Linked DNA regions of Neodiprion lecontei. The protein of the gene in region 2 interacts with the protein of the main gene of each other region in a pairwise test. Links are inferred from orthologs where the notes say so. Each region holds a gene or a part of one and is shown on either strand. Other genes may lie near its edges.

The links. The genes of interacting proteins can lie anywhere in the genome.
Region 1: the proteins of syntaxin-16 (region 2) and alpha-soluble NSF attachment protein interact in a two-hybrid assay, tested with the Drosophila melanogaster proteins (2 studies listed by BioGRID). The link is inferred for Neodiprion lecontei from reciprocal best matches to the Drosophila melanogaster genes Syx16 and alphaSnap.

What each region holds. Positions count from the first base shown.
Region 1 is NC_060263.1:28,720,397-28,726,333, forward strand, and holds alpha-soluble NSF attachment protein, read right to left. Parts: upstream 4,012-5,937; 5' UTR 3,892-4,011; coding exon 3,800-3,891; exon of another isoform or gene 3,757-3,799; coding exon of another isoform or gene 3,737-3,756; intron 2,220-3,736; coding exon 2,023-2,219; intron 1,928-2,022; coding exon 1,662-1,927; intron 1,526-1,661; coding exon 1,352-1,525; intron 1,219-1,351; coding exon 1,069-1,218; 3' UTR 509-1,068; downstream 1-508. Other genes in the region: ATP synthase subunit gamma, mitochondrial, read left to right, coding at 4,986-5,870. UniProt on the Drosophila melanogaster protein: Required for vesicular transport between the endoplasmic reticulum and the Golgi apparatus. Also between the endosome and phagosome.
Region 2 is NC_060262.1:42,178,294-42,183,067, reverse strand, and holds syntaxin-16, read right to left. Parts: upstream 3,087-4,774; 5' UTR 2,711-3,086; coding exon 2,630-2,710; exon of another isoform or gene 2,506-2,629; coding exon 2,287-2,505; intron 2,033-2,286; coding exon 1,825-2,032; intron 1,338-1,824; coding exon 1,072-1,337; intron 948-1,071; coding exon 738-947; 3' UTR 553-737; downstream 1-552. Other genes in the region: XK-related protein 6, read left to right, coding at 4,430-4,774.

The DNA.
Region 1 (5,937 bases), on a different chromosome or scaffold from region 2:
TTTTGTCGGGAATAATTGTTAATATGTAATATACAAAATACAATATTGACATATACGTTTACACAACATTGAAATAATCTCGAAATTGAGAATAACCTACCAATACTATATAACATTATTAACATTTTTGCATGGTTAACTCGGCAGCTAAATAGTATATCTTCAATGAAACTGGTAAAATATTACGTTATTATTAATTTAACATTATTATAGCCAATATATGTATATTTATTATAAGTATATATGTATATATGAATGTAGTCAGTGCATTATGTTACTAATTATGAGTCACTTAAGGTGAAAAACAGTACAAAGCAATGATATTAGTTACAACGATTCAAAATTGAATTTTAAGTTTTTATAACGTTTCAAAAGAACGGAGTTTCAGTTAATTCAGAAATGTGAAAAAAAAAAATTCGTCGTAGATAATATATCCCCACTTATGTTAGCACTGATTGTAAATTGCCACAAAGTAACGAACGGGAACTGGAAGAATGAGAAACAACACTTTCTCCTGGAAGTTCGAACTTTAATTTAAATGAAACATATACACATTATTATTCTGAATTGTAATCCAGGTAGCCTTTCTAAACGTTATAAACAACCTAATGAGGCTTTATCGCTATCTGTGCCTCTGAGCTATACCTTCAGTAGTGATCGTGCCATGTACTTTTAGGAACAAAAAAATTCATCGTTATATGTTCACTAGCAAAAAATTCATAAGTGTCGGATAGTAGAAAAATTTAATAACATCCGTTCCAAATTGAATCAGGCCCTGTGTAAGTGTGAATGAAGAATATTGACGTACTAGTGTTACAAACCGATTCCAACAGAATGTATTTACTACCATTCTTGAATATATTTCAATTCTATACAATGATACTTCACACATTTCTAAGAACGATAAACAATTTCGTGAGTACTTTAATAAAACACAGTATTCGTTTATCCCCTTCAAGACGCAAGGGTCTGAAGATATTCTATAAGCCTGGCTATGAGAGGAAGATGTGCACAATCTGAGTGGGAAGATATTAATGGCATATTATTATGTGTAAAAGAGTGAAAAGATCAGCGTAGGTCTGGGTTGTCGTTGACTTGTTTCTTAATGCGCAATAAGATCGTTGTGTACCAGGAATCCAACCGTGATATGGAATCATACTCCTTAACTGCTTCTGTGTATCCTTCCAAATTTTGTTCTTCTAGGTGCTCGATTAGCGTCTGTGTCAACAACAAAAAAGTAGGTGAAGATTTTAGGACAAAAACATACTTAACTATCTTAAGTATCTGGCATTTATCCACGTAAAATTTGAACTTTATTTCATTTAATGTTGATAATAAATTACTAATTTACCTTGATAAGTTTGTATTCTCTAGAATCCTGAAAAGCAGGATATTGTTCTTGATAACGTTCGATCGCGTGTTGAGCATTCAAAACATCGACGCAGAGATGGCATAATGCAGCACGAAAAAAGTACTCCTTCGCACTATATTTCAACAGCGAGCTTTCGAGGGACGAAGAGGCGACCTGTAAGTCATCAATCTCTATAAAATTATACATTACATCTCGCATAAGAGCAAGTGTTTAATTTGTTCTATTCTTATACACTAAGATCCCCTACCATCCTATCGTAAACCAAACAGTTAATATGAATCACACAAACCTGTTCATAAATCTGGATCGCTTTGTCGTAATTCTCAAGTTGGGCGGCATATTGTGCCACCTTGAGCAAACATTTATTTGCGGAAGAGTTACTTTCTTCACCCCGGAAATAGTCGGCTGCCTGCTCGTAGTGGTTTACTGCTCTATCAAGGTCGACAGACTCACTCTCATACATCTCTGCTATACTTTGATGGTGCTTAGCAGCCATTGTGAACCTTCCCATGTCCGTATATATCTCTATTGCTTTTAGAAGACAGCTAACTGCCTCTACAATATTGTAAAAAAAAACGTCAAATGAGAGGCACGTTCAGTGATTGCAATTCAAGACAGTTCAACCTATATCACACAACAAACAATCATACCATTTGGATCCGACTTTTTATAACAGTTGGCAGCATCTACGTAGTTTGTCGCAGCATCGTGTCTGCTACCAGCTTTGCCGTGAAGATTAGCTGCTTCACAAAATGCATTTCCTGCGGCTCCCCACTTTTTTGCCATTTTGAACATATTTGCTGCACGCTGATAGCATTCTACTGCTTCTTCTACCTTCGACGATCCTCTGTGGAGTAATACGCGCTTTTTTCAAATATTTTGTACGAATAACACAACGATTACACTGCAGTTTGTAATTACCGCTTTAGATTATTAAATTATCAATGCCAAAATGAAATCTATTCATCAGATAGATTGACAAGATTTTCCCTAATATCTCACAAGCTAGATACAGGCTGAAATTTTTTAATATAAATTTCTTGTATGTGAGATTCGGAAACATCATTGGAACAAACTATATCTTCAGTATTGCTTGGTCATGCTTCAAAGTTTCATTCCTAAACTGGTTTAACTATGATCTTCAAATTTACCTCCATCAGTTGTATGAAACAATTTTTAATGTAGGCATAATGTGTTTTTTGAGAATATTTTCTGTCATCAGTTTGTTAAGTAACATGAATTTCGTCTCGGACAAGCAAGTTCCTCATTCATCAAAGAAATGATTTTTCTGTTTAACAGTAACATATGTCTGTGAATTTTTAATGATACTTAAAATATCGTAGAAGATAATTCTTAGAAATTCGTTATCCATTTTATAAAAAACAATCAAGCATTTATGTTAAACTGAGATATCTTCAGCAGTTTAATTAATCACGTTGCATAACATTTTATCAATACTTGTGAAACCATTTAAATGAAGTTTATCTCTCAGCAATGAATTTTTTTGAAATGCATACCTTTCCTTGATTGAATCAACGAGTAATCACCCGAATATATTGCTCAGTGAATAAGTAATTTTATACTCTTATTTGTATTTCGATATCTTGTACTGCAAGTAATACACATAAACAAATAATTGGGTAAATATAAGTCCATGAAGAATAAATGTAATGGATAGTCTTTACAAAAATAAACTTAATTCAGTGGATTGAGTGAAGTCCGAATGTCGACAGGAAGCATTCTGCATATGAGAATAAACAAAGCTAAATAATACCATATCATGTTATTGTGAAGTTAAGATCAGGAAAAAATATGACTAAGAATACATTTTGTAATTGTTTCAGTTTTCAGTCGATTAACACAAAAGAACAAGGTAATGGATGCTAAGTTTACAAGCACTCGCGACCCTACTTACACAATATACTTGTTCAGTCGTACAGGACATACGACATACAATAACAATTCGGCAAATTATTGTTTAAACTTTAATCATGTGTGTAAATTTAAGATTGTCGAATGTCATATGGACCTTGTCACTCAACCATTGAACATACTGACTCTAAATTGATGTGTAAATTTGGAAGGTTTGTTATGCCCTAAGAACTGAGATTGGAGGAAAATTGTTAGACCTGGAAGTAGTGCCTAAACGTAGCAATGAAGGGGTCGAGTTATGCACGTACATTAAAAAAATATTCATTTGATTTCAATATCAAACTCTTGATGATATGAAATTGGCGAATTCTCATGATTCGTACGATGAATTTCAAGTGATAGTAAAATACGTGAAAATGTATCGAAAATATGTCACTTAGGAATAGGATCGTTTATGCAAATCAGTAAGGAGCTCGTCAAATTGCGACGTACGTATCAATAAATTCGTCCATCCTTGCAGTCTGTCATTTTTCTGACAAATCAATATCAACTCACCCGAAAAGAGATCCAAAGAAACCTTTCGAGGAAGTTAATTTTTTTTCTGCCTCAGCCATGAGCTGTATGGCTTTCTGCTCATTGTCACCCATTATGATAAATACTTTTTAAAACACTTCGCTATTTCTCTATTATACTGTCACTCGCTTTATTGACAAAATCCATTCACTGTGCGCCACCAGTGAGCTCTGACCTGCTCTGACGTCACCATGAAGGAAACATCCACCCTATTCGTTTTCACTTATTTCCACTGAGGGAAGACAGGGGGGATCGCCGTTTGCCAATCGCGTTCGTCTATCTATGTGAAACCAGAAATTGAGCCATACATTGAGGTTAGGTTGATCCGTGTTTTGCGGGTGTTATTTTTTGATATGAAATGAAAGTGATATTCACATTTATAGGGTAATATTAAATGCCTGAACTTATATGTATGCATGTTTTATCATACATCATACGCCAAAGTCGAAGAACATTACCGTTCTTTTTCCTAAATAGATTTATGACTTGATAGTGGTGCATCCATCTGGCGGTGGAATTAAACATTATGCCGCTCAAGCTGAGTCAACGGCCGGGAGATGATCTTTGAAAAGCGGCCTACGTGATATAAAAAATTTTAAATGGTTTTACAGCTGTTCAATGGTTTAATCCTTTCAAGCTTTACAATATTTAATTCACTCGACGGGGCTGGGAAATATTTTATAGCAGGGATGACAAATTAACATAACAAACAGGATAGGCCTTCGTATTCGTGTCTACCTTGTCAGCAATTTCGTCTGTCTATCCATTAGTTGGCCATTGACCATTAGTCCCGGTTGTTACTCATATGCTCTTTGCGGTAGAGTATCTGTGGATTAGGTTGTCCCTGCTTTTCCTACCTAACTTTCTGCCAAATTTCTGGGTAAGTGTCTGGAACGGTTGTTTTTAACAAAAGAAGCCGTAAATTGTAATTGTATCGTGGTTTAATCATTATCCAAGGACTTTATTGTCGTTGACCGATGTACAATCATGCGTTATTATTTGCATACATTAAATCGGCACATGACTTATCTGCGTGAATCGATTACATAAATGTCTACACACTTATGCACGCACACAGGCATAAATTTCTGCTCGTCTGACATAATTCACCTTGTAAGCAAGTCTTTTTACGATTATAATTAATTTCAGGGGCAGGCCAAAAGTAAAGATGCTTCGTCAGACGTTAACTTTAGTGCCTGCGCACTCGCAGCAGCTTCAACAGCGGGGTATGGCGACTTTAAAATCCATCTCACTGCGTCTGAAGTCAGTTAAAAACATCCAGAAGATTACTCAATCGATGAAGATGGTGTCCGCTGCTAAGTACAACCGTGCGGAGAGGGATTTGAAACAGGCCCGCCCCCTTGGAGAAGGCACCAAAGCTTTTTATGAAAAAGCTGAAATTGCAGCACCGGAAGGAGTACCGAGCAAACTCGTAATTGCAATTACCTCAGACCGAGGTCTCTGCGGAGCTTGCCACACAGGAGTTGCCCGCAACATTAGAGATCAGCTCCTTGCAAATCCTGCAGATAAAGAGAACACAAAAATCATATGCGTAGGTGAAAAATCACGAGCTGTCTTAGCCCGAATTTTTGCCAATAATATATTGTTTGTTGCCTCCGAAGTTGGTCGCCTGCCACCAACTTTTACTGATGCTTCCAAATTGGCTGCAGAGATTTTAAACAGTGGATACTCCTTTGCATCTGGACGCATTGTCTACAATAAATTCAAATCTGTCGTTTCCTATGGAGTTGCAGATTTGCCTTTGTACGACAAAGATTCAGTTGCCACTGCTCCGAAATTGTCCATCTATGATTCACTAGATGATTCCGTCATTCAAAGCTATCTCGAGTTTTCTCTAGCTTCTCTGCTCTTCTACAGTATGAAAGAAGGTGCTTGCAGCGAGCAGTCGTCCAGGATGACTGCTATGGATAACGCAAGTAAGAATGCCGGTGAAATGATTGAGAAACTCACTCTGACCTTCAATCGTACTCGCCAAGCTGTCATCACCAGAGAACTTATTGAAATTATTTCTGGAGCTGCTGCGCTTGATTAAGCATACCGCTATAGGGGACGTTTAGAAATCAGATAGATTTAATATTCTTCGCAACAGTGGCTCTTGA
Region 2 (4,774 bases):
GCTAGTTTCTTAATATTTTCATGTTTCAGTGAACTCTGTGGTGCACTCTGTATTTATTCCTAGGATAATTATCTAGTACACTATTGAATATTTTCGAAAATCTACGGAACACGAATCGTCGCGTACGTCACGTCACCTTGAACAACGAACGTGAAAGGATAATAAAATGTGTTGTGTTCTGAACTCAGCTTGCTGTCTTTATCTCTCTTGCTCTACCCGATTTTTCCTGAGCTCTCTCTCAGTCTTCAGAAATTTTTAGGACCGGCAGCTTATCTCGGAACACAACGGAATACACCCTACCTTTAATCCCGTAGAATTTTTAGTACCGATGATTCGTTTGAAAATACAGTAACTGATACAGCGTCATCACCAAGATGAAACTTCGAACTTGGCTCAAGCCTCTAACACACAGCAGTCATGCATATTTTCTGTAGATGTAAGGTTAGGTTGATTAGGATATGTTACATCTGATTGGTGGATACTTGAAATTCCACAACTTTTATTTTCATTTCAGCGAGCAGCACAATGACGCCAAGTAACTGGTTATATTCATTTAAATAAATAGTTGATAATTTATTAGCTGTCAGCATTACATATCATTATTATACTTGTACATAGGTACGTACATACATACACATGAATTGCCTATGGATAAATTCGACATTGTAGTGATTAATTAATTAAATAACCATGGGACGATAATTACTTAATTCAGTGATATTATTAATACAATTGTACTAGGTTTTGAATATAACAAAGAGGAAGCTGAGGAATATTATACTAATTGTTAGCACCATAATACAGTATAATTTGCGATTCGCTCTTTGGTACGTATCAGCTTTTTTTAATTGCTTATAACCCTCTTGCACTTGTATCTGTGTCTGTTCAACGTTGTAGTCAATTCGGTCTAATACGCTACCTTGATCCTGAACCATGTGTGCCAGGTCCTACAAAAATCATAAGCAGATTGTTAGTAACGATTGTCCATTGGTTTGTTTTATTTGGTTGTATCAAAAATCTACAAGTATTGTTGTATTGAAGCAAGGAAATAACTTCATGGTAAATCTCTACCTTAAATATATGATTTAGATCAGATATGCTCTGTACAATATGTCCGACTTCTTGTTCTCTTATCATTGCTTCTCTGGTCCGCTCTTCGTCATCAAATTCCAAAAGGACCTCTTGCTGCAACTGCCGTTCGTGTTGTTGTTCATAGTTACTTCCACCAACCTGAGCAAACTTTAAATCTGTTGCCCATGAATCCGATGGTTCAACAGAAACAAACTCTTGATCTTCCTCAAAGTACTGCCGACTTCTTTCTTCTCTCGAATTCAATTCTGTCATTAACATGGATTACATTTAGATAAAGCCTGGATGACGATTGAATAATCTTTACACGATTATGTTGTGAATCGGATTCTGTGTTTCAGCCTTCAGATATTTAAACAAAGCCACGATCTTAACTGACATAAATTTGAGTTTTTCTTTTAGATGCGATCAAACCTAGATAAAAACATATAGACATATCAATGTCAATTTGCCCAAGAGAGAACTGCAGTTGCATTGAGTGAATAAAAGTAAAATCGATAAAATGGAGCATGCATCACTGAACAGAGATCTTTTGAACCTATTTCTTTTATGTTTTCTCCCCCAGCATTTTAGTAATGAATAAGATTCTGACTTTTATCAAACTTGAACATAACAATTTTTACTTGACTTGGAACATCGTGACTTTTAGTTTAATTTTAACACAGTGTTATGTACATCTTCAGGTTTAGGATTCTGGCTGAACAGATGATAAAATTATATCAATAGTGATAGTACGCTGTAAGTAGTGGCTTTGCGCAGCTCGATAGGATAACCCCAGCTCCTGGAGAGCAGTGGAAAGAGCTACTGCGGCACTGGCTGCAAGTCGACGTTCACTTGCTCTACTTTCTTGTCTGGCAGCTGTCTTGATAAGTTGCACTTGCCGATGGCCACTTGTAAATGCTCTTCCCATCTCTCTGGTCAATTGTTCCATCTGCCTTTCTTCCTGCACATGCCATACAAAATTATGCTCAACTTTTTTCAATAGAGCTATTTATTACAAATATTTACATTTAAAATCCCCTGACATTAATTTTTTTCATTTGAAAAGAACATGATTATTCGCTGAAATCTATTTCAGGCAATAATATATTACAAGAGGCAGAAAAAGGTGGAAGGCAAATAATATGCTGATACTTAGATATTCCATTTACATTTCAATATGAATTGACTAGAGCCTTATGCCAGCTCCAGTCATACCTGAGACGTGTCATCCAACGTTGGCCTGGTCAAATGCTTTGCATGAAGTTCCTTTAATTCAGCAAGCTTTGCTCGCAGTCTACTAAGGATGTATTGGGTTTCTTCCAGAGCATCAGACCATGCAGGTGGTGCATCTCCAGCCAAATTCAAACCCCCTAACTCGACGTCACCTCCAGTCATTGATTCCGGGGCTACAAGAGCCATTCTGTCCGACAAATTCTGTGTTAAAATAGTAATTATCGCATGATGATTTGCTGTCAATTGGCATATGGTTAATCAAACCAAGTTTGAAGAAATTACTGTGGGCTAACATCAGTAAATGAATTAACGAAAATTTTCTTACTTGTTCAGAGTATATGTGTCGAGTCTGTGATGCATTGTTACGCATAAGAATAAAAGGTTCTGTTAAACTTCGAGTCGCCATTGTTTTATTACAGTACAGTCTTTATTAAGTCTGACTCTAAATATTTATCACTCTCGTTTTTTACACCTTGACAGCTCTAAGACCGAGCCGTCATCAACAGGGAGTCGCAGTTGTCATGTTTCTAACCACGGAATTTTTATTTTTCAACGAATCGATCCATTGTTCTGTAACATGCACGGCGAAACGTTTAGTTTCTCTTAATTGGGATATTCAAGGGCTTTCTGAAGTATCAGTTCCACCTTCATTGCTGGCCATGTAACATTTTATCTAAATTTAATAGAGTATACGACGAGCCTATCTTGGTTTCTATCCGTTTATGTGACTTATAATACCGAACATTGACTTGGGCATAGACGAAATAAATATTTCAAGACAAGTAACTAAACTTCATTATTTGGTATGAAAAAGTAAATTAGGAATGTTGGCATGTTAACCGTCTGAAGTCAACGTTAATGGGTCGGTGAGAGAGAATAGTTGGTAATTGCAGGAAACTTCTATATTAACCGTATTCAGGCTCATCTAGCCCACACTTTCCGCGAGCCTTACACCCGTATTCATAGTCCTTCCTTGAGAAACAAGGATTCCTTGTTCCTCATTTCACGTTTCACGAACAAGGAATCCTTGTTCCTCAAGGAAGGACTATGAATAAGGGTGTAAGTTCATATAACGATTTTAGCAATGAGTTCATGCACGATCAGATCGAAAATCACGCAAATGTATGCCAACTACGGTGCAAACGTGCACGGGGCATTCAATAGATGTAAAGTCACGTAACATTCTAACAGGCACGACCATAAATTCTCTGTTAGATTTTCTGATCCTATGAAGGCAACATACGATGTGATATTCTCGCATGATTCCTATCTGACTCAAACAGGGTTGCCGAACCGTTCGAATGCTCATTCCGTAAAAGATAAGTCTGTAAGTTTCAAGCAAAATGTTCAGATACACGTTGATACGAATCAATTGGTTTTATATAGCAATTGCACTCTTTGTCCTTGAAATCTTCCACTTTATAATAAAATACATGGGAAAAGTATAAAGACTATTACCCAAGGACTTAGAATTAGATTGAATTGGTATAAAACACATTAATTTTCTTTGGCCATTGGAAAGTGCTCAGAAGAGACAGACCGATTTTAATTTTCATTGAACCGATAAATCAGCTAGCTAATGATAAGAATGGGGTAGCATGAGAGTTGCGTGACGTAGCTGGCACGAATGGCACAAAATAATTTCATACGCCGTAGGCACTGATATAGTTATATTGCCAATGGCATACATATTTTCACTGGTTGCATTGGTGTGTATCAGTGTGTATTGTGGTTAAATAATGAGTATAACGAGATGACAGGGTGGTATCAGTGCTTTGACAAGATGATTTATTGCAATTTTCACCTTTTTGTTAGCTGGAACCAAACTAAAAAACATCGAACGAAATTATACTTTTTCGCGGATACGTAATACCGATGCTGGTGTAAAATGATTGTCAAAAGAGTCCACGCGGAGACGCTTCAAAGTTTAAAGACCTTGACATTTTTTCGATCTAATTTTGATCTGTCGCAGTAATATGTCGCCTCTGGCAAAACGTGCGGGAGGGGGGGCGTAGAAGTCGGAAAAAGGGGTGGCTAGCTAAAAGCGAAACGTCTGGTATTCAGGGTAATTTCAGTGCAACTCTTTTTTCTAGCAACTATAAATATATTAATATAATTCGAACAAATGCGTGGAATTCATTTGAACATGCTATCACCGGTGCGCATCCATGAAGCCAGGAGGACACATGAAGGTGTGGAAAGTTTGCGAGGGAGGTTAGGCAACAACTGCGCTGAGAACACTGACAATCCAGAGAGTTGCATTGAGTATGACGATGAAACCGACCGACCAGATGAAAGTGCCAGTGTAACACGTTGGGATATAATATTTCTGAGTTTTTCTATCGTTACCCATATTTTCGATATCGGAGCTGACATCAACTTAGCGGCTCGATATCTGATCTATAACAAGATAACATATTTTGCTTGGACTGTCGTGTTCATAATTTTTCCGACATTTGTAAATACGTTC